2 linked regions of the Mytilus edulis genome follow. The protein of the gene in region 1 purifies or fractionates together with the protein of each later gene. This does not show direct contact. Links are inferred from orthologs where the notes say so. Each region holds a gene or a part of one and is shown on either strand. Other genes may lie near its edges. The genes, in order: centriole and centriolar satellite protein OFD1-like and centrosomal protein 20-like.

Region 1 (11,766 bases):
CAATAACGATATTTATTTAAAACAACAATCAGTTTTTCATATGAATGTGAAAGAAAGGAAATTATTTGATGAGCTTAAATACCCGAATGAAGTTATGATAACTGTATTAAAGTAGCATAACACCATAAAAACAAAAACAAATTCTCGGGATATATCAGTTTGTTTTGGGGATATCACGTTTTTTCTTGTATTTCTCGGGAAATCGTGGTACCGGGTCATTTTCATAAATTTTCGGTTACAAAACTTTGATTTTTTTGAAAAACTAAGGATTTATTTTCTTATCTAAGGAATAGATTACCTTAGTCATATTTGGCACAACATTTTGTAATTTGGGTCTTCAGCTTGGTATTAGTTTGGCTTTATACTATTTTGATCTGAGCGTCACTGATGAGTCTTAAGTAGACGAAACGCGCGTCTGGCGTATTAAATTATAATTCTGATACCTTTGATAACTATTCAGTTACCTCTGGTCCGTATTGTTTGGCGTCAGATATTGGTGCCGATCTTTCCCAGATTTATCATTTTACATATTAATGTTAAAAATTAATTTGTAATAATGTTTAATGCACTGTACCAAAAAAGATTAATAATAATAAAATCTCTGTACCAATAAAATGAATCATTGGATATATATAAATATAACCCAAAATTGTTTTCATTGGAACAAATTAATTTGTATTTGGATATTAACTAGGGTATCGTGATACCGTGAAATACTGATAGCTCGGTCCAGTAACATAAATATTAAGTTAAGATATACTGTTCACAGCTCGGTCAAAAACAAACTCGGACTATAACATATTATCTCATAAATTCGTATATAATTTTTATGTATAAAGGAGTAGGTCCGGTAAGGACCGATTTTGGCCTCAAATTTCAGGTTCATCTGACGAAAGATTTTGACCACTTTTTAAACACTTAAGTGTCTATTTTATTTGAATTAATTAGTTTATGTGAAAGATTTTAACAGATTTAGTCATTAAAAACGATCTGATTCAAGGTCTAATATGAAAAATCTACCTAATATGCCGAAAAATGTCACTTTTCAGATGGTTTTTGGTAAAAATGAAAATGGCCGCATCCGTGTTCATCCTCAACCTTTATATATGTTATGTATTATCATAAAATACAACTTACATTTTAATATAAAGGATGAACACGAATGCGGCCACTTTCGTTTTACACGAAAACCGTCTAAAATTTAACTAAAATGCTAGAATTATGAGGATTTCAGTAATTTAGCATGACTTAATGGTGGTAGTACCGGATATATGTGCATTGTATTGTCAAAAACAGCCCATATTTATGTAGCAGAAGCATTCTACTGTCCAATAAATAACTAAAGGTTTACATTTTAACAATTTTGTAAAACTGTTATATTTTGGGGCCAAAAAGGGGTCTTACTGAACCTACTCCTTTGTTTTTTAATGTCAGAAAAAACCGTTTACAACACAATCTACTACAGCAACCGTATTCCGAGTTTGTTCAATTTATTTCTGCATATAAATAATCAAGGCCGAGTTTGTTATAGTCCAAGTTATCAAGCAGCGAATAAAATCATGTCGTACCCACGAATTATAGTTAACCCGTACCAATGTAAACTCGTACCAACGTTAACTCGTACCACTAAAAAATAACTCGTACCAATGTAAACTCGTACCACTGCTAACTCGTACCAACTTATTTAAAAGCATTTGATTGGTGTTTAATTATGAATATATACTGTTATTTTTCTCAATACCTCTTAATAAAATTGAGAATGGAAATGGGGAATGTGTCAAAGAGACAACAACCCGACCAAATAAATAACAACAGCAGAGGGTCACCAACAGGTCTTCAATGTAGCGAGAAATTCCCGCACCCGGAGGCGTCCTTCAGCTGGCCCCTAAACAAATATATACTAGTCCAGTGATAATGAACGCCATACTAATTTCCAAATTGTACACAAGAAACTAAAATTAAAATAATACAAGACTAACAAAGGCCAGAGGCTCCTGACTTGGGACAGGCGCAAATATGCGGCGGGGTTAAACATGTTTGTGAGATCTCAACCCTCCCCCTATACCTCTAACCAATGTAGAAAAGTAAACGCATAACAATACGCACATTAAAATTCAGTTCAAGAGAAGTCCGAGTCTGATGTCAGAAGATCCCAGATAGCAAACATGTGTTGGGCCAATATTGGCATTCTGTTGGCAACATTGTTGGGCCAATGTTGGAAAAATATGTTGGGCCAACGTCATTTTGCTCATCGGCCCTCAGTTGGCCCAACATGTTGGGTCTTTGTTGGCCCAACATCAGTATGCCAACAAGGTTAACTATTTGCCAACAATCTGCCAACAATGTCAACTATTTGCCAACAGTCTACCAACGTCGTCTAGTTTTAAATTTATGTTGGACCAATGTTGGTCGAACAGTAGTATGCCAACGATGGCCTCAGTCTGTCAAACATGTTTTTCAGGCATTTGATATTATGTATTAAGAATTATTTAGTTCTAGTATATAATGTATATTATCGCTATTTTGTGCATTTTTCTTTTGATCTTTTTTTGTGATAATTTTCATATCATGCTTCTCGCTTGAGATGGAAAAATTATGAAACTAAGGAGGCCACGTGGCGTTGCTAACGAAATTGACATGAAATTGACAACGTCGTCATAGGTAAAATAGCGATAAACAGATTATCATTGGTCATCTCAACTCGATTGCTTTTCTCACTTTCGCTGTACCAGCTCAAGCGAGAAAATCAATCTCGTTGAGCATATAATCTATAATTATATTGGCAGGTCAATCCCGGCTGTCATGTGGAGAGTATGATATTACACTCGTGTCAAATGAGCAGCTGAGTTCAGTTGATTAGTTAAACAACTTGCAGAAACTATATTCAAATTTTATTTGTTTTTTTGGGCTGGTTTTAAGTATTTTTTGTTTGTGCATAAAATTATTCAATCATTAAGATAAATACATTTAAATGACTACACAGATTTGAAAATATTAGATAAAAAGAATGAAGAGCACATTTTTTGGTTCGCACTTTGAAATAATATCTATAAAAAAATAAAAAAATCTGTGGTATAATACGGGGAGATAAGAACTTAATACGTTGGCATATTGTTGGCACAATGTTGGCTCATATTTCAATATTGTCATGAAATATCAATGATATGTTGGTTTTTTTTTTTATAAATATACTGTTTTAAAAACTTTTGAATTATTCAAAATATTAAGAATTTTCTAGCTCTTGGCACAGACGGTTTAAAATAGTCCTATTTGGGAAGACTTTATTATTTGATTTTTTACTAAGTCCTCAATGCCCTTCAAACACAATCTATATTCTCTACGATAACATAGAATCATTCAAATAAAGTTCGAATAAAATTGGTTCAGTAGTTTCAGTCAGAAGATCTTACACTGAACCAATGGATAACGTAAGTCAAATATCGTTGGGCAAGCTACTTTAAAAATAACAGTTGGTAAGAAAATGTTGGGCCAACATTGGGCCAATAACACAAAAATGACAGTTGGTGGAAAGTCGTTGGGCCAACAAGGGGCCAATAGTGTCAAAATAACTGTTGGCTGAGTTCTGTTGGGCCAACAAGGGGCCAATAGTGTCAAAATAACTGTTGGCTGAGTTTTGTTGGGCCAACGTCGGTTTCTTGTTGTGCTGCCAACGCCAACTATTTACCAACTGTGCCAACCAACCACCAATGTTGGCCACAAAGTATTGCTATCTGGGATGTAACCAAAGAAAATAAACAAAATGACAATAATACATAGGCTTAATGGTAGTACTTTTTTTTTTTTATTAATTTTAGAAAGAAAAAACACCACAAAATGTTTTTTTAATGGTACGACTTCCCAGTGGTACGACTTTAAGTTGGTACGAGTTAACTTTTTTGGTACGAGTTAACATGGTACGAGTTTCCGTTGGTACGAGTTAATTTGCTTCCGTACCCACACACATGTACAACTTCCAAGTGTAAACGCAGGACTTCGGGAATGTTCGGAGAGCCGACAACCTTGCTTCGGAAGTTGACACATGTATAGTTCTATCGATAGAAATTATTAGTAGTACTTATACGTGTGCGTGGGTCTCACTAATTAGCGACAACAAGCGTCAAGAAGTGACAACAAGCGTCAACAAGCGACAAGAAGCGACAACAAGAATTATTTTAGCGACAACAAGCGACAAGAAGACTATTTAGCGACAAGAAAACATTTTTTTTTATTAGATATAAAGAAATTTGTATTTAATGTTTTTTTTATAAATATACGAGCAGATATGTCTTATTAAAATGGTTTATTATATAGATAGACGAAGAAATGAAACATTTGTGAGGAAGAAAGAGATTTTGAAGTTTATATTAGTATATTGGTAGATGAAGAAATTTAACATTTGTGAAGAAGAAAGAGATTGAGCTTCTTTTTTTTAATTTTTAAATATGAAGAATATGTATAAGATAATGTATGTATCTGTTTTCATCAAAGTCAAAGTATGAATAAACGAATGGAGATATATATGGAGCGGGCATAATGGAATATAATATTTTGATTCATTTGCTTAATACTATGCTCTAAGTGTACTCCCAGGTAGCACAAAACATTTTCAAAACATTTTTATAAGGTTGTATAAATGTCTTATCAAAACGTTGTCAAACAAATATTTTCGTGATGTTATGTGAATATTTTTTCTTTGATTTTTAAAACATTTATTTAAAACATTTTTTGGAAATATTTTTACAATGATGTAAGAATATTCATAAAAATGTTTTCGATAATATTTTTTAAGATATTTTGTATGAATGTTTTATAAATGTTCAGAAGATATGTAGGTTCTACCTCTGAAAAACATTTTAAAAGTATATAAGTAGAACATTCTTAACAATATCACTCCGATGTTTTAAAAATATTTTCTAAAAATGTTTCATGAAACTTCCCTTACTATTTCCTTTGCTCAAGAGGAAAACCCTTATCCCAAGGGATTCAGTTTGACACGGCGATGTGACAAAATAAGTGCGTTTCAATATTTACCCTTGCCCAAGGGGATATCATGAACGGACGTGTCCACTATAGTATAATTATAATACTTCTAATATGCATTTATCGAAGTTCGAGTCGTAACCTTTTTTCCCTTGCACAAAAGGAAATTGAAACCCTGTACCAAAGGGTTCGTTTGATACCGCGCAGTATCAAAGACGTTCTAAGTAACTGATTTATTAATCAAAGGTAAACCGAGTTGCGTTTTAGATTCTAGCAATTGCACAGAGCACGTACTTTTGCGAGAATAATACTGAAATGCTGACAATTTACTTTATACTAAACATAAAAGTTGAATGACTTGAACAGTCAGTTTGGTAGAGCAATGGAAATGCACACGCTATAAAATTGAAACAAAAACAAAAAAAAGGTCAACTTTCCTTTGAAGGATTTATTGAAACAAAAACATGAAATATTATTTCCTTTCTAACAGTATAATTCATTGTTCTTGATAGGAACAACATTAGATGTGGCTTCACCCTAAGGTAATAACAGTACACACAATGTGGAACATTAAATGAGATTAACGAGTCGCGTGGAACATTAAATGAGATTTTCCTCCTGTTTGATTTCAGTTCTTTGTATTTCACAATTTGTGTCAATGTTTTCAGGACAATGATGCACAACTAATTCATTTTGCGAGCTTAATATATATATTGCACGAAAAGAGTTTTAAAAAACAAATTATAAGATAAATAATATGTTCTAAAACACAAGGAAAAGTAATCTCATAATACAATAATTAATACTGGCTGTTATTCATAATAGATGATAAAATATTATGTAAATAATGTCCAAGTTCATTTTTTTATATCTATCAATTTTAACTTTTTTGTCGCTAAAATTATTTTCTTTTGCATATTCTTTTAATATTTATTGCAATAATTAATTTTAATTTAAAAAAAAATGTTTTCTTGTCGCTAAATAGTTTCTTGTCGCTTGTTGTCGCTAAAATAATTCTTGTTGTCGCTTCTTGTCGCTTGTTGACGCTTGTTGTCGCTAAAATTCTTGTTGTCGCTAATTAGTGAGACCGGTGTGCGTTAATAGCCAGAGCCTTTCTTCTATCCAATGGAAAGGCTTTAAAACATTAAGCCCGATGTAAACAAAGCGCTATTTTCGAAAATGGCTGATATATGAAAACAAATGAAACACCTGGTTAATGACAGGTCTCTACGTTGTTATAAGAGAAAAGAAAGGGAAGTTATGAAGATAAAACTTTGCGAGACAAAAACGTTGATTGTTTAACAATTATATAGTAGGCCAATATTAGAAAACTAATAGAATGGCGGAGGATAAACCTGAATACTTGTCGGCAGAAGCACTTCGTAATCGACTGTATCACAGTCTTCGGGATAAAGGGGCTGTAGACACGATTAAGGTATATATTTGAATACACGTAGGCGCAGTTATGAACAAGCAATCCATTAACTTCACGTACGGATTGTAAAACTAAAAAAATCAGGAGAAGAAAAACGTAATTTTTGGTGTGATAAACATGTGTGGACATGTTTCTCGGTGCATACTATAGTGTTTTCTACATGTCTCTGCCCCATATGAGGGTTTGGATGGGGTTAAACGTTTAAAGAATAATGCCCTTAAAAAATAAAGATTAGAGAATAACGGGCAAAAAAAATGAAGTTTAGAGAAAAAAGGGGTTAATTTTTGGAAGATTAGAGAAAAAAGGTGTTATTGTTTTAAAGATTAATTAGAGAAAAAAGGGGTGAAAATTAAATGTTTACAGAATAACAGACCCCCCATCCAGACCCTCCCATATTATTCATAATTTAACCTTAAATAACCCACTACATTTTTGCATAGTTTATATTGATATAAACCCTAGTAATATCAAGTGAAAATACACCTTCATGACTTTAGTCTTTAGTCTTTATTTTTGGCCGAGCGGAACGAGGCAAAATTTTTTTTAATGGGTTATGAAGTCACTGAAGTCCCCAAGAAGCTATAGAACTGTTTAAATCAACCAATATGTAGGATCAAGCAAAAATTTAATTCACATAGTTCAGTATGCATGGTATGTGGTTGCTGTTTTTATGCAGTTAAGCTGCATTATGCGAGCACCCTAGATTTGTGTTCTACCCAATAAATCCTGAAATACTTGCCATTGTTATTATCTAGCTTGTTACTATGTTATATATAATTAATTGAACACTTTTTTAATACTTTTTATTCTGGATTACAAAAAAAATGACCAGAAAAACCTTAAATGATCGTCGATTTATCCAAAAGTTTTAAAGTTACACATAGGAAGTAGTGCTTATTAAAAATCCTTGTGTAGTTCATTATGACTTGTGCTTTTAGCTAAGATGTCAAAGAACAATTGTATGAAATATTTAATCGCCGAAAATCTCTGAAGACAAGCAGTTTAGATTTCCCAAATGACAAAAGTCGTAGGAATATTGTTTGTCATCAATACGTAGTACAACTACGTCAGTAGTCTATTATATAATTCAACTGTTCATGCTGTTGGCGGCAATTTCAAATTAGAAAAAGAAATTTTCGTAGCTTTTCAATTTGGAGGCAGGTGTGCAAATTAGCGGTGGTCCGAGACCTTCCATTTTTGCAAGCGGAATTTCGACTAGGATAGTTGGTTTCTAGCTACGCCCGACGTAGTCGCCTTATATTTGAAAGAAAATAAGAAATTACTTTGCAAACCTTTTCACCATGTTCACCAAAGTCTCCAATTAAACGAGCTAAAAACTTATTTTTATCATTATTTTTCATAACGGCGATGTTCATTTTGTTCAACCGCTAGCTTTATACAGAAAATCGCCAACAAATATTGTATAAATTCGAGTAAAATCATATCTGATTGACAAAAACAACATTGTAAACACATAACAATGGCGGCCGTGAAGACAAAATTTTACAAAATCGGATCCGATTTCTGGAAGCGGATAGAGTAATTCCGGGTTTGACGATCATTTACAAAATAAATCCAAGCAGGTGAAAAAATACATCTATGCATGGTAAATCAATATAAACACTAGTATTGTAAACCAAAAGATATATGTAAAAGAAAGAAAAAGCAGAAAAATATTTTATTCAGAAACTAAAAATTACTTTTTGATAAATTTTAATTTAAAAAGCCAATACAACGTGACAGCTGGGAACAGTATATCTAACAATATACATGTTCATGGTCACAGTCTAAATTTTCTTTAATGATAAATGATGCTAATGCATGTGAGATGCTTTTAAAGTGTAAACATATTACTGCAATTTCGAGGGGTTATTTGTTTTTTCTCAATTTTGAAGGGTCAATTAAAGTAGCTGAAAGTTTCATTCTTTATTTTCACAAATAATGCAACTATACTATATATACCTTAATGTAAGTAAATCATATGATATATAGGTGGCATTCTTTGGGCCACTCTACCCCCTCCTGTTTGATAACTTGGAAACGGTCGAGCTCCCCACCCCTAAACCATATGAGGGGCAGATTATTGGAATTTTTTTTATTAAGCTGAGAATAACCCATGCTTTGCAAATTTAAGGGGGTGCAAGCCCGCAACCCTCCCCAGTCTGAATCCGCCCCTGCATATATTCAAGTATAGAACAATATAATAAATAAAAAATGAAATATAGGGGGAGGCCCTGGAGTTACCCCACCCCTTCCTGTTTGAGAACTTGGAAACGGTCGAGATCCACACCCCTTAACCATATATATTCATGTTTGTGACAATATGAAAAATCAAATGAAATATAGGAAGAGTCGCTAGGGGTCACCCCACCCCTGCTGTTTTAGAATTTAAAAATGGTCGAGATCCCCATCCCTAAACCATATATATTCATGTATGGGACAATATAACAAATCAGATGAAAGATAGGGGGAGTCCCTGAGGTCACTGTTCACCCTCCTGTTTGAGAACTTGGAAATGGTCAAGATCCTAAACCCTAAACCATATATACTCATGTATGGGACAATATAACAAATCAAATGAAATATAAGGGAAGTCCCTGTGGTCATCCCAACCCTCCTGTTTGAGAACTTGGAAACGGTCGAGATCCCCACACCAAAACAATATATATTCATGTATGGATCAATATAACTAATTAAATGAAATATAGGGGGAGTCCCTTGGGTCACCCTACCCTTCATGTTTGAGAACTTGGAAACCGATGAGAACCCTACTCCTAAACCATATATATTCATGTATGGGACTATATAACAAATAAAATGAAATGTAGGGGAAGTCCCTAGGGTCACCCTACCCCCAGTGGCGGATCTTTGATCCCTGTTGTAGTAAACATTTATCTGATTCGTGTCTCATAACTTTTGTACTATAGAACACAAACTGAGTTTTCTTTCCAGGGAAACCAGTCCATTCATACTATTACATGTTCATACTATGTCAAATTGAACTTCTAGCAGTCAAATAAAACCAAGGTTAACTACCAAGTAGAACAACTGCAATCATTGGGAACTTGTACCACTGCAGACTCACCATAAAATATATACATTGATATATGCATTGCTTTTGAAACCTTGATAACATATAAATTATTTGCCTTAATAAATAAATCATTAGATAAACATGAATGTACTATATATGAATGTTTAATGTTGAGGCAACATTGCCACAGTTTTCATAATTACGGTTGCCTTGGTTTTTGGTTAACTGCCTTCAGCGCTTACAGCGCTTTGATTTTTTTAAACTCTTGATCAAGTTAACAACATAATTACTTAATTACAACAATTTACAAATGGAATGCAAAACTAACAGAATTCAGGAGAGCAATCAATGAACAAAAGACAAATAAATAAGAAACATTGATACTGGAAAAAAACGGCTACGCCCAAGACACTCGCTGTGAACACAATTTGATATGAAGACAAGCTTTTGGTTTTGAAATTTCTAACATGAGGTATTTGTCGGAGGGGTCCTGATCCCGAGATCCCGGGCTTAAAAACATGAAATCCTGAGTTGCAGAATTAAAGACATTCATATCCTGAAATCCCTGAATGGAAAAATATATTCCTAGATCCTGTAAGGATCAATCCCCAAATCCTGAGCCGATCTGATCCCAACGTCCCGAAAAAAGGTCCCACCTCCCTCTAATCTCTACCCTACTTCATATTTGCCAAATCATTACTTTCTCTTTCAACAATAAATTTTTATGTCCCATTTATTGGCATTAGGTTTTCTAGTCTGTGCATCCGTGCGTTCATTTGTTGGTTCGTCCATCCGTCTGTCCCGCTTCAGGTTAAAGATTTTGGTCGAGGTAGTTTTTGATGAAGATGAAGTCCAATCAACTCTAAACTTAAATATAGTGCCGATGTGGCATCCGTGTACCATGGACACATTCTTGTTTCCTATGTTTTACTTATTTTAATATATACATTGTATGCAACTGGTATGACCCCTTAAATAGTTAACATTTCAAAGAAAACAGTAGACAGAATACAGAGAGTCTCTATATATTAAAATTGTATAACCGTAGTTTACATGTAGATAAACACGAAAAAATAATTGTCCTCGCTAATGTTATGTTTATCTTTTTAATACTGGTTAATGAAATCATTACAGTGTGTACTGGCTGGTCATTATCATGGCGTATGATACGATTTTGACACGCCTACATAGCTAATGAATATGCATGACTATAGATAAGAACAGCACGTGTAGCCAAAAAGGAGAGTTGTAGATTTGTAGCATAACTGTACATATGTAGTTTAGAAAATAGAAAATAGTTACAAAATTATAGTTATTATTAATAGTATCCGAACAAGTAAAAGACGTAAAACACGGATCTATCACTAAGGAATTAAAATAGTTGTTAACAAACCATTTGTTTTTGTGATTATCAAGGCTGAGTTATTTATTTTCATAATCATCCTGCCCCTAAAATTGCAATAAGAGGGTGATAATGGGGGTACCTTCAATGCCTTCATGACGAATAACAGTAATTAACCATAACCATTGACATTATCATTAATTTTTGATGCATAATGATAAAATGTGCACTTTCTTTAAGATGAAAAAAAAAATAGAATGATTTTGATGAATCAATTAAATTTTATCAAAAAAAACAACAACAGTGATGATATTTATTTGGGACCTCTGACGAATCACGTTAAGGATATTTTGACAAATCAAAGTGAAATTTGATGCTAATGGTAGCCGAAAATGACCATTTGACGCTTGACAGTAATTTTAAAGCTACTACTACCCTCCATTAGTAGCCTCCAAGTCCTTTTTATGTCTTAACTCTGACTGATAACATACATGTAGCACGTCTGCTTTTCGCTCCTTTTAAATGCATGGTATATCTGTCAACAGATTTCAGATGTATAATAAATATTCCACTTTTTTTTCAGAGCCAGTTGAGAAACAAAATAGTTGAAGAATTACAACAGTCTTATAAAGGTCACTTATCGGTCAGAGATCTCAAACTGCCAGATGAAGGATCTTTACTACACAGAGCAGCTAACAGTCTAGTCGCCGATCACCTTAGGAGTTGTCAGTATGATTACTCATTTAGTGTGTTCCTTCCTGAAAGTAGAACAGCTAAGGACAAGGTCAGTATAAATAGGTCAATACTACACAGCTCACAGTCGAGTCAATGATCACCTTAGGAGTTGTCAGTATGATTACTCATTTAGTGTGTTCCTTCCTGAAAGTAGAACAGCTAAGGACAAGGTCAGTATAAATAGGTCAATACTACACAGCTAACAATCTAGTCGCCAATCACCTTAGGAGTTGTCAGTAT
Region 2 (11,370 bases), on another chromosome or scaffold:
ATATGCGGTGCATTTTCACTGTATAATTATTATTTTTTTTATCTATTACAGCTCATTTCTTTAAGCATGGAGAGCAAGACTTTAGTTGATTTGCTTGCTTTTTTTATTGGATAATCATTATGATAACACCCAATTTAATTCAAATATTAAAAATACAGGTTAAACTATGCCTATTCATATTGTTTAAAAATGTCAATCTTATTTACAAAGTTTGTATATACAATTATACAAACAAAGCAAGCAAGCCAACCAAAGTTTTCTTTCCATGCATTAGGAAATTAGCTGTAAAGCCTTAATTTAGCCGACTTGCTCAAACAATAGATAAAGTAAGAGAAAGATTTGATAAAATTTAACTTACGGAGGAAAGTTTGGTTTTAAAACACTCTAATAAATTCAATAGAAATGACATTTATTTCAAATGTATTCCATTTAGTTTCTTATAAAGCGTATAGGGATCTTTATCCTTATTTCTTGTATCCATTTCCATGACACTTCACCACTAATTACTACTCCATGCTGAAGACCGTATTTTGACGTTTAATGGTCTACTTTTATAAATTGTGACTCGGATGGAGCCGAGTTGTCTCATTGTCACATACGACATCTATATATGGCTCAAAAACGGAACTAGACGGGATAAAAAGGGATAAAAAAAATCTACGCTACTTTTTTAATATATTTATAATGGGCTTAATATGAGTCAAAATAGAGTAAAATAGTGGGTCGCATTTGGGTATAAGCGTCACGCCGGATTGCCGATTTTTAGCAAGCGTGACAGGTGAAAGTCAAATGATTGTGTAGTGAAAAACGGGAAATGAAGTCTAGCGGGACACGGATAATAACAAAAAATTAGAACTGCATAGTATAAGCGGGATACGGGAATCTGACAAAACAATAAGCGGAATACGGGAATCTGCCAAAACAGTAAGCGGGATCCGGGATCAGACCCCCCCCCCCCCCCCCCCCCCCCAATGAGACCCCAGAATAAGATATTTTTGTATATTCATCCTATTGTTACAGTCATGCCTTCAATAACAAGTTTATCCGATGCATGCATTTTTTTAAAAATTTTTGGTCCCTTTTTCAATTTTGTGGGGTCCAAATTTATAGACAAAAGTCCTTTAAAGGGAAAATTCACGATTTTTTACTTATGGTTTAAATATGTTCATTATGACATAATATATATATTCACAAAGTTTTATCGCTATGTGCAGTAATAAAGGAGAAATTCAATAATTAATGAAAAAATATCAACTACTTCCTGTAGGTCGTGACGTTTTCTCCTGATTTTTGCATGCCGGGATTTAAAATAAAATCATTAAAAGTCTTGGTTTTTAATCATATTTTAACGTAATCGTAAGCGCGCCGATGACTTATGCTTTATCTAATAACCATCCGATAATAAGAAGATAAAACGCACAGACGTTCAATTGTACTCATTCGTGAGATAAATTATCTATGTTAATCGTATATATTCGAATTATTTTTGTAGACAACACAAAAAGTTATAAATTTATTTTTAATAAATGCATTTTCGGACTGATAAGGTGGACAAATTAAAGTACAATAATCTGTAAAGACAATATGTTGGTGTACTCTTATTGCCCTTTTACTATCTCTGCTATGACTAGGTTTATACGATGTGTGTATTCACGGTTTTGTGGCAATACTCGTAGATGGCTTGTTGAAAGGTAAATTGTTATTTGCACTTCGGTATTTAACCACGCCTCTAGGGTACACCTTGCCAGGTGTGACTGTCTATTCGGATCAGTGGGAGCATTTAATACACACATTAAAAATACATATTCAAGTTGGTGACAAATAAAAATTGGTCGCCGTGGAATTATTTAATTATATTTGGTGCTATTATTTATTTGAATTCAAATAAGTTAATTTACTTAGAAATACACAATTTTCGGTTAAAGACGGGAAACTTTATTCATATGTCAGAATGAAATGATATACAAGTCTTGTCCTTGATTTATGTCTCATAAAAAAGGGGGACTTAGAAATTAGAAATAGCTTTACTAAATCATTTTTATTTGTCTTTATTAGGCGAAAAAATCATGTACGAGAACACTTACATTTAGACTTTTGAAAGCCATGTATTAATTAATATCTGAAACTATCTGAAGATAACTCTACCGAAGCGGAATATAATATGTACGAATAAAGAAAAATTACTTTTGTACTTAAGAGGTTCAAAAACGTCAACCAAATTTATTCATAATCGGGAACGTCCTTATTAAAATCTGAGACTACTATATTAATCGTCGTCTCCCAACGTATATATATACTTAAATAATTATTTGACCAACGATGTTTAAAATTAAAAGACAACGAATTTAATGTTATCTTTCCCTAGTTTTGAATGTTATTATAAGTCTGTTCAACTTGCAAGAATACCCCTAAAGCGGACAAATATCCGACAAGCAGTTTATTCTTTAAATTGCTGTCATTGAATATCAAGAAAGAAAATAAATCCCGAAATTGATACTCAATAGTTTTCCTAGAAAATATTCACATCCCTTGGGGATTATTAGTGTACGTCCAGTTGCATATATTTTATATGAATGTTGGAACAATTGTGATGATGACGAATTTCGTCCTTTATTCGAGAACAATCTAATTGATATATAAATCTGTGAGTTTACTATGTTCTTAACTTCGATGAACCAAAGCAAGTTATAAATTGACCTGTATTTAAATCAAATTGTTTCTTTTTTTCTTCTGCTTCTTTTGGTATACAATAGTCTATCGAATTCGTTGATTACATACTGTTGGCATACGTGGACTAGTCTATTTACAAAACTTTTACCACAATTTACACAAAATGTATGTTTCTTTCTTATGTTCAATGTATACATATTTTAAATTGCGCTACTGACTATAGTTCCGTAACTTTCTACCCAGGCGTGTGTATACACGAATCGTCGACAAGTGCGCACATTTTTTTAAATCAATAATTCTGGTATGTTCCAATCTGTCCTAAACTATTGACAACGAGTATATATTACATTTTCCCAAATTAATCCTTGGAAAAATATGTAAATAGATTTGTATTTCTTCAAAAAAATAAATTTGTATTATTTTTTTTTATAAATAATATTCTTTACACCAGAAATGTTATTTATAAACTAGCGTATGAGTTCAGCAATGACTAGTATATTATATCACTTTCGGACACGCAAGACAAAAATGTGTATTATACATGCACCTCATAGCAGGGCCGTAGCGTAATGGAAGCAAATGAGGCAAATGCCTCACGTTTGAACCGACGACAAAACTTTAGAAGTGTATTTTTTTTTTCAATTATGTATTTTCAATAATCAGTATGCGAGTTTCGAATCATCTTCAGACACATAACATACAGTGTGTCCAATACAAATCAAAAATAAAAAAAATGAAACAAATCTTAATGTCGTTACAAAACTGGTTGAATACGGGTTCGTTAAAGAGAAAAAAAGATGAAAAAGGTAACGCGTGAGTATAAGCACCCCCTTTAAGTATAGCAACTGCCTCTACTGCAGAGCAGCATTAGCGAATTAATTTATTTTCCCCATTTTTGGATCACGTCATTAATGAAATGCAACGCCGGTTTCCTGATGAGGTAAAAAATCAAATGTTAGGATATTACCTTATTCCAAAAAATGTAGGCAAGTTAACCGGAATTAATTGAACACCTTTTCCAAGCATTTCCGTACGTCGTAACTAACATGGAAGAGTTAACATGTGAACTTGAAAGGTGGGTAAGAAAGACAGTAGCAATGCTTGATGAAGGAAGCCTCAAGACAGCAATTAAGCTAGTTAACAAAGACTTATACCCAAATGTTTTCAGAATATTGCAAGTACTTTAAACTCTGCCTGTCACATCAGTCTGTTGTGAGAGATCGTTTTCAAGTTGAAGGCGTTTGAAAACCTGGGGAAAATGGGTGGTGACAGGCTTTGTGGGCTTGCCATGCTCTATATGCATATAGGAATGATATAGTTGACAAAGAACGTGTGTTGAAGCTTTTCGATAGTACAGGTAACAGGAGAATCGGAAAGTTTTGGTTGACCAATAGAGATTAACTTTAATATTGAAACTTGTTTTGTGACTAAGCTTACTAGGCTAGCTGGAAAAAAAAAAAAAAAAAAAAAAAAACGCATTTCTGTTATATTGTTTTTTTTTTTTTTTTTTTTTATAAATACATTTGACCTCTCCCATAGAAATGCTGAAATATGCTTCTCCTGTTTCAGGCTCCCGAACACCCCTAAAAAAATTTAAAACTTGTTTTGTGACTAAGCTTACTAGGCTAGCTAATAACAAAAAAACGCATTTCTGTTATATTGTTTTTTTTTTTTTTTATTTTTTTTATTATAAATACATTGACCTCTCCCATAGAAATGCTGAAATATGCTCCTCCTGTTTCAGGCTCCCGAACACCCCTAAACAAATTTGCCTCAGTTGATTTGGACATGCGCTACGGCCTTGCATAGTTTAAAATGGCAAGTTATAAGTTACGGTCGTGTACACTGATCACTACCTACAGAAGTGAAACGATGCATGAACTTGCAAGCCCGCCGGACAGGAAATCGATTGAATACCTGCACGTGTCACCTTACACCCCTTCCAATACCTTTGAGAGTAATACCTTTAGCCATGCTGGTGATCAGATGAGGGAAGATCCGAATTTATTTAAATAAAGTTTATTACTTTAAAGAATTATGAACGAATTAGATTTTCGAAAACAATTTCCACGGAACACTTATTTATGATTTGAACTTTGACTTTTTAACTAATTACAATATTATCAGTTTAAAAATAACAGACTATATGGTAATTTAAAAAAATAAGACCATTTTCCGTATCAAGTTAGTCAGTCAGATAAAACAACCGTACGATTGACAAGATATCGACACGCAATTACGACTACATCGTTTACTGTAGTTTTGTTCCTTTGTGGTTTATAGACATATCGGGATTTTTCATCGGAGAAGGTGACAAGATGGCGGAGCTCAGAGAACTGATAATAAAAATTTAAAATCGATGGTGATCTCTTATTTAGCGGAATAAAACTTTAATATCTATAAATTTGAGCATTTTTATACAGAATGGACATAATATCAATTTTTGATTTTTTTGCGAAGTTTCCCTTTAATACTATGCTCTAAGTGTACTCTTGTTATGTCAATTCGATGCTTTATTTATAGAACTCTCAGCCACGCTTTGTCCCCTGTTTTATTGCTACAATAACAGCCAATTAACACCTTCAACTTTGTACACGCGTCGGACCAGGGGCGGATGCAGGAATTTTCGAAAGGGGGGGTGCTAACCCAGGGCAAAGGGGGGTGCAGGGGGGGTGCAAAACATATGTCCCGATACAAATGCATTGATCGGCAAAAATAAAGGGGGGGTGCGCACACCCGGAACCCCCCCCCCCCCTGGATCCGCCACTGCGGACTATACAATTACACGCGCCAGAATATACAATCATTGTAAATAATGAACACCTGTTGAAAACTCAGGATTGTCATTAATTTCCTTTCATCTTCAATCAATATGCATAAACATGATAAATATCGTTTAATGAGGCAATAAACAAATAAAAAGATGAAAACATTCACATTTCAATTTTCGTTTCCTCCTGTTTGATTTCAGTTCTTTGTATTTCACAATTTGTGTCAATATTTTCAGGACAATGATGCACAAATAATTCATTTTGCGAGCTTAATATATATTGCACGAAAAGATTTTAAAAAACAAATTATAAGATAAATAATATGTTCTAAAACACAACGATCGAAAAGTAATCTCATAATACAATAATTAAACGTAATACTGGCTGTTATTCATAATAGATTATAAAATATTATGTAAATAATGTTTCATTTTTTTTATTATTTGATTTTAAATTTTGAAAATTGTTATATTTTTCATTTTGCAAAAACTAAAATTGAAGGAAATCCATTGAATATTTTTAAAAGAGTAATATTGAAGCTTTAATAATCGATACTATTTGTCCGGAAATATTCACAAATTCTCCGCATCGGTTTTCTAGTTTTAGAAAAATAATTAGTGTTGGAAACGTCATCATTTCATGTGGTTATTACGTTTTTCGCATCCAATGTAAATAAAATGTCTTCAACACATGAACTAAAAGATGGTAAATGGTTTAAGTTGAAATATGAGTAAAGGAAACTGGTATTTTATCAGTTTTTTGCCAACCTTATATTAATTACTGCAACTTATCGCCGGATAATACATTATGATACGTTAACAAAAGCTGTAAATGAGGATGGTCTAGTGAAAAACCTGTCTGGTCATGTTATTGTTATTTTATATAACGATAAACTGTTTACTTTAACAATCATTTCTACAAACAAGACATAAATTCCGAATAGTTTCCAAAACATATTATATAAAAGAATATTTTCCCAAGAACAAAACTGACTAGAACTATCTATTTATGAAATAACATGATAAATTGTTGTCTAATGTTGATAGCCCCACAGGACGCAATTACAACTGGACGCAATTCTCAGATCTGCAGTGACATCACAACATGTAACTGACCAATCAATGATTAGCATTTTTGTTATGTAAACAATGTTGAGAGGTGATGCGGATAAGATTCCTCTAGATTTTCCATAGACTTATTGCAAATTAATTTAATTGATATATATCGTAACCAGTTGAATATAGTAATTTTACTCTTTTAATACTGTTAAAGACACTATATAATATCTCTATTTTGATTTTTAACATACAATAACCTCTGGTTAAAAAATAATCGGCAATATAAATAATCAGTAATCCCCTTCAAATAGATGAAAAATCTAGAGGATTCCGGATGACATCACCTCCTGACAAATGTAAATGCCAGGATGTCCGGATCTGAGAATTACGAACGATTTCCAATGTTTGCCCTCTGAGATCATATTTATTTATATTTAACAATAAATGTTTTTATAAATAAAAATCCTATTAAAATTCCCTTGTTTTCATGATATAAATACAATTTATGTGCACTTGGTGAATGTTGATTACGATGACAAAATCATTCTGCAAATATTATAAAAACGGCAATCTGGCCTGAAAGTGATATAAAAAAAAAACATAAAGGTAAGTGCATATTGCCTTCTTTTGTTAATATATAGAAAGAAAAATATCTCCTGATTCTGTTCATATGCGTGATGCCTTTTATCTTGCCCAAATAATAATAATAATAATAATAAATTCTTTATTTAAAGAGGGTAAACTCAGTTAGTTACAATAAACTAATCTTCCCTGAGGCCCTCACATACAAATTACAATACAATCAAAACAGATATTTACACATAGTTAATTTACAGTCATGTAGTTCAATTTATTGTTATTAACATAAGATATAATGCTGTTTAAGATGTATACATGTAGTCAAAAAATCAAATGAAAATAAAAAATATACAAATACATTGTAGCAAACATTTCTTATCAGGATTGTGTTAGGTACTTCTTGATACTTTGCTTAAAAGAAAAAGTGTTTTGAGCTTTACGCATTTTGTGTGGTAGTTCATTCCATAATAATGATCCAGAATAAGCAAAGGATATCTTAAATAGTTCAGCTTTTGGCAAATAACCCCACAATTGACGTTTTATAGACTCTACCCTATTTATGGTCAAAAGAAAATATGTTAATTTTATTGAAAAGTCCAGAAAACTCTGAAAGAAATATTGACCTATAATATAAAAAAAAAATCATAGATGAATGATAAGTACACAACCGAAATGGATAAACTTGAATTTAGTGCTCCTTTAAAGGAGGAACTTGCACAAAAACAAAAAAAATCAGAAATCTTTCCTTTACACATGACCGACATTTCGTCTGCAACCACTGCTGAAGTAATTGAAGTAAAAAACAAACTTGTGCATCTTATTTTCCTATGAAATTGTGTTTGAGATAAAGATTAATGTATGCTTTATCAATCTAGACTATTGTCATTGATTTCTTCTGCAAGATATATCAATATAGTGCTGTTCGGAATTGCGTCCATATGTGGCTCTCTTGACCCGTAAAAAGCGGTCACGCAAATCTTACTAAAGTATCCTAACATGCCTAACATGAATAAAAATTTATGTGGGATATGATGCAAAATGGAAAGCCTGACATACATCTTAAATTCTATGGTATAAACAATTCAAGAAAAGTAGTCTTTGACTACATAAAAAAAATATTAATCATAGTTCAAAAATCGTTCGTAATTGTGTCCGCTAGGACCTTTTAATATTGGGACTCCAGGATCAGGGGTTTGTAAGCTTGGGATTTCGGGATTGACCCTTTTGGGATATATGGGAATCTTTTTTTTCGGATTTCAGGACGTTGTGATTTACTTTAATTAAATTCCTGACCTCAGGATTTCGTGGTTTTAAGACCAGGATTTCAGGATCAGGACCCCTCCTATCCCCCCTCAATGTTGAATCTGTATACCAAAACATTTTGCTTTCATGTGGATCCGTCCCCTCAGTCTGTCCGTTCCAGAATTTAAGATACATACTGTGTATTGTATCAAATCTTTTGTGGTTTAATCAATGCATACAGGAGTTTTTTGTTAGACTGAATGTCATTTTCTTTTCCCCTTTATCTTTTTATGAAAATCCAACGATTTATCTTTTAAAAAATGTTAACCCTCCACAAGACTTAATTGTCAGTGGCTTATCATCTATAACCTTAATCCTAATAATAAAATGCTATTTTATATTTAGAGAACCTACTTTATATAGAACATAAGACAAAGATTTCATAGCGAAAAATTGGGGGGAAAAATATATTTAGTAGCACAATAGCCTGAAGATTTCATAATTATCGGAAAATATTTTATTTCCTCATTTTTCACTATAATTATGAAATCTTCAGGCAACTATGATATGTCATTGTGTTATGTTCTATCAAATGTAGGTACAGTATATATATATATGGTGTACTAAAAAAATATTGACACCGTATGTTTGTGGCATAACATCATGGCCACAAGTTAAATTGTTTTCTGTTTAGTATTAAATTTATATTAAGATCCATTTTGTTACATCTTGTGATCAATTTTATTTGGCAATCGCCAATGGCAGTCAGCAGGGTTTAAGAACATCAGTTGTTCGACCTGTTAGTCAAATGCGTTTTGTTTAAATATACTTTTTCACTTTTTTGGTCTTTCGGAAAATGTTGTTTGTGCTGTTTTTAGACCCTTCTACAACGAAATTTGTTTTACATGCACACGTATAAAAATTGTGGTTTTTATCCAACGCAATCATAGGTTTGAACGTAATTTTCAATTTAGACTCGTTTTATATATTATATACATATATAGTTTTCTTGTTTTGATTATAAGAGGGTATGAATGGTTTACCATGAATGAGAGTATGAATTTGGTTTATAGATAAGACAATAATGGTAAAACAAATGAGGATTAAAAAAAACAATATATACATATGAAAAACAGATAAAAGGTGTGATTAAATCCTCCAATTTTATTATAAATTAAACACTTATTAAAAATGGGTAGGATGGATGTGTGACAAAATGAATTGGGATGGATTAACTCATTCAACTTGGGACAGGAATAACCAGATACCAAACCTTCATTTCATTTCATGTTCACTTTTCTTCACATTCCCATATTGCTATGAAATAAGATATAAAGGTCCAAGTTGTAAAATAAATTGATTGACAATTTGCCTCAAAAGGTAAACCGGTTTCCCTTTTAAAGTCAAATTTATAGTGTTTTGTTGATTTTTTTTTATGAAATAAATATTGTCATGACAATCACAGGCATATGTTCAATCATTTATTTAAGAATCATAAAAAATAGGCTGAATATATCAAAATATCTATCAAATTCATCAAATGACATTTGCACAGCAACTATAAATAACCATATAAAGGTGTTGTATTTCAGCTACATGTATAAGTTCCTTAATTATACATGTACATGTATAATGCAGAGTCACAAGTCATTAAAAGTTGGTAATATGATAGTCTAAGATATGTGTAGGCCTGCAATGCCATGTATGGAATCAGATTATTTTTGGTTAAAGATTGCATGAAATGCAATCAAAACCCTATTGTACTGGCTTCATATTTAAATCTTCCCAGATTTATCTGAATATCACTACCTTTGATATGAACAGAATATAGTGCATTGATCATAACATTCTATCCATCTTATCCATGAACATATCCAGAAATTTTTATCAATGATGTCAACTTTAAAAATTGGAGTTATCTTCCTTTGTCCAGAATTCTTGTTGATTCAACTATTACCAGTGTTTCCCACTGATAAATTTTAGCAATCTTAACCCTTCAGTGCTTACAAGCACTTTGATTCTATTTAAATATTATACATGTATGTTTATTTTCTTTACAGTCATTAAAGATACATTAGAGAATAAAGGAACACTAGGACAGATAAAAGCCAGGATAAGAGCTGAGGTGTTCAATGCGCTGAATGATGAAAGTGAAAATAAACCTCAACTTAGCAATGAAAATTTGATTATAAATGAACTCATCAGAGAGTATCTAGATTTTAACAAGTACAGATATTCATCATCAGTGTTGGTAGCTGGTAAGTTTTTCCAATTCATTAGGCCTACATCTAAAACTTACAAGATTTTCAGCCATTTTTTTTAATAGTACATTAGTTTCTTGATTGAGTATTTTTACATTTGTCTTTTCAGGACCTTTTATAGCTTGCATTGTAACATGAGTTTTACCCATTGCAAAATTATTTTTTATGTGTATGTTAATTGATTACTCTGGATTTTACAGATAAATTCAGTCTCGTGGAAAACAATACTGATCAAAATAACATTCTAATGTCTTTTTGAAAAAGGCTGAAAAATAAGATCTCAAATACTTTATATTTTCAAGTTCAGGGCCATAGAGTGCTCATCTTATAATTCTCCTTCGTCATGTTTGTGTAGGTCAATAATATATATTAGAAAGATGCATGCAATTATTAAAAATATTTGACACCAAACCTTTAGTATACTAAATCTATGGTATACACACAGTCTTCACACAACTTGACTTCTTGCTTATGATAGCAACATCAATTAACTCATCCACATTGGTAAAGATAAGAAAAACAACAAAGAAATAAGCTATGACTTAAAATCATGTTTTAATAATAAATTTATAACTTTTTTTTTCAGAGTCAGGACAACCAAACGTTCCATTAGACAGAGGATTTTTAAGCAGGGAACTGAATATCAGAGAAGACAGAAATTCTAGCTCAGTGTAAGTGTTCCTTTGTTTTTCATTTATTTTTTAAAAGTACATTTAACCTTAACATTTCATTATAACATGTTCTTGGTTTAATGCTATTCTGTCGAATCCTTTTGGTATTGGGGCATGT

What was found.
Region 2: the proteins of centriole and centriolar satellite protein OFD1-like (region 1) and centrosomal protein 20-like purify together in Homo sapiens (co-immunoprecipitation; 3 studies listed by BioGRID and IntAct, with this or other methods). This does not show direct contact. The link is inferred for Mytilus edulis from reciprocal best matches to the Homo sapiens genes OFD1 and CEP20.

What each region holds. Positions count from the first base shown.
Region 1 is NC_092351.1:501,299-513,064, forward strand, and holds the start of centriole and centriolar satellite protein OFD1-like, read left to right. Parts: upstream 1-6,135; 5' UTR 6,136-6,319; coding exon 6,320-6,415; intron 6,416-11,374; coding exon 11,375-11,575; intron 11,576-11,766. UniProt on the Homo sapiens protein: Component of the centrioles controlling mother and daughter centrioles length. Recruits to the centriole IFT88 and centriole distal appendage-specific proteins including CEP164. Involved in the biogenesis of the cilium, a centriole-associated function.
Region 2 is NC_092352.1:76,243,808-76,255,177, reverse strand, and holds the start of centrosomal protein 20-like, read left to right. Parts: upstream 1-6,031; 5' UTR 6,032-6,118; coding exon 6,119-6,146; intron 6,147-10,380; coding exon 10,381-10,578; intron 10,579-11,167; coding exon 11,168-11,252; intron 11,253-11,370. UniProt on the Homo sapiens protein: Involved in the biogenesis of cilia. Required for the recruitment of PLK1 to centrosomes and S phase progression.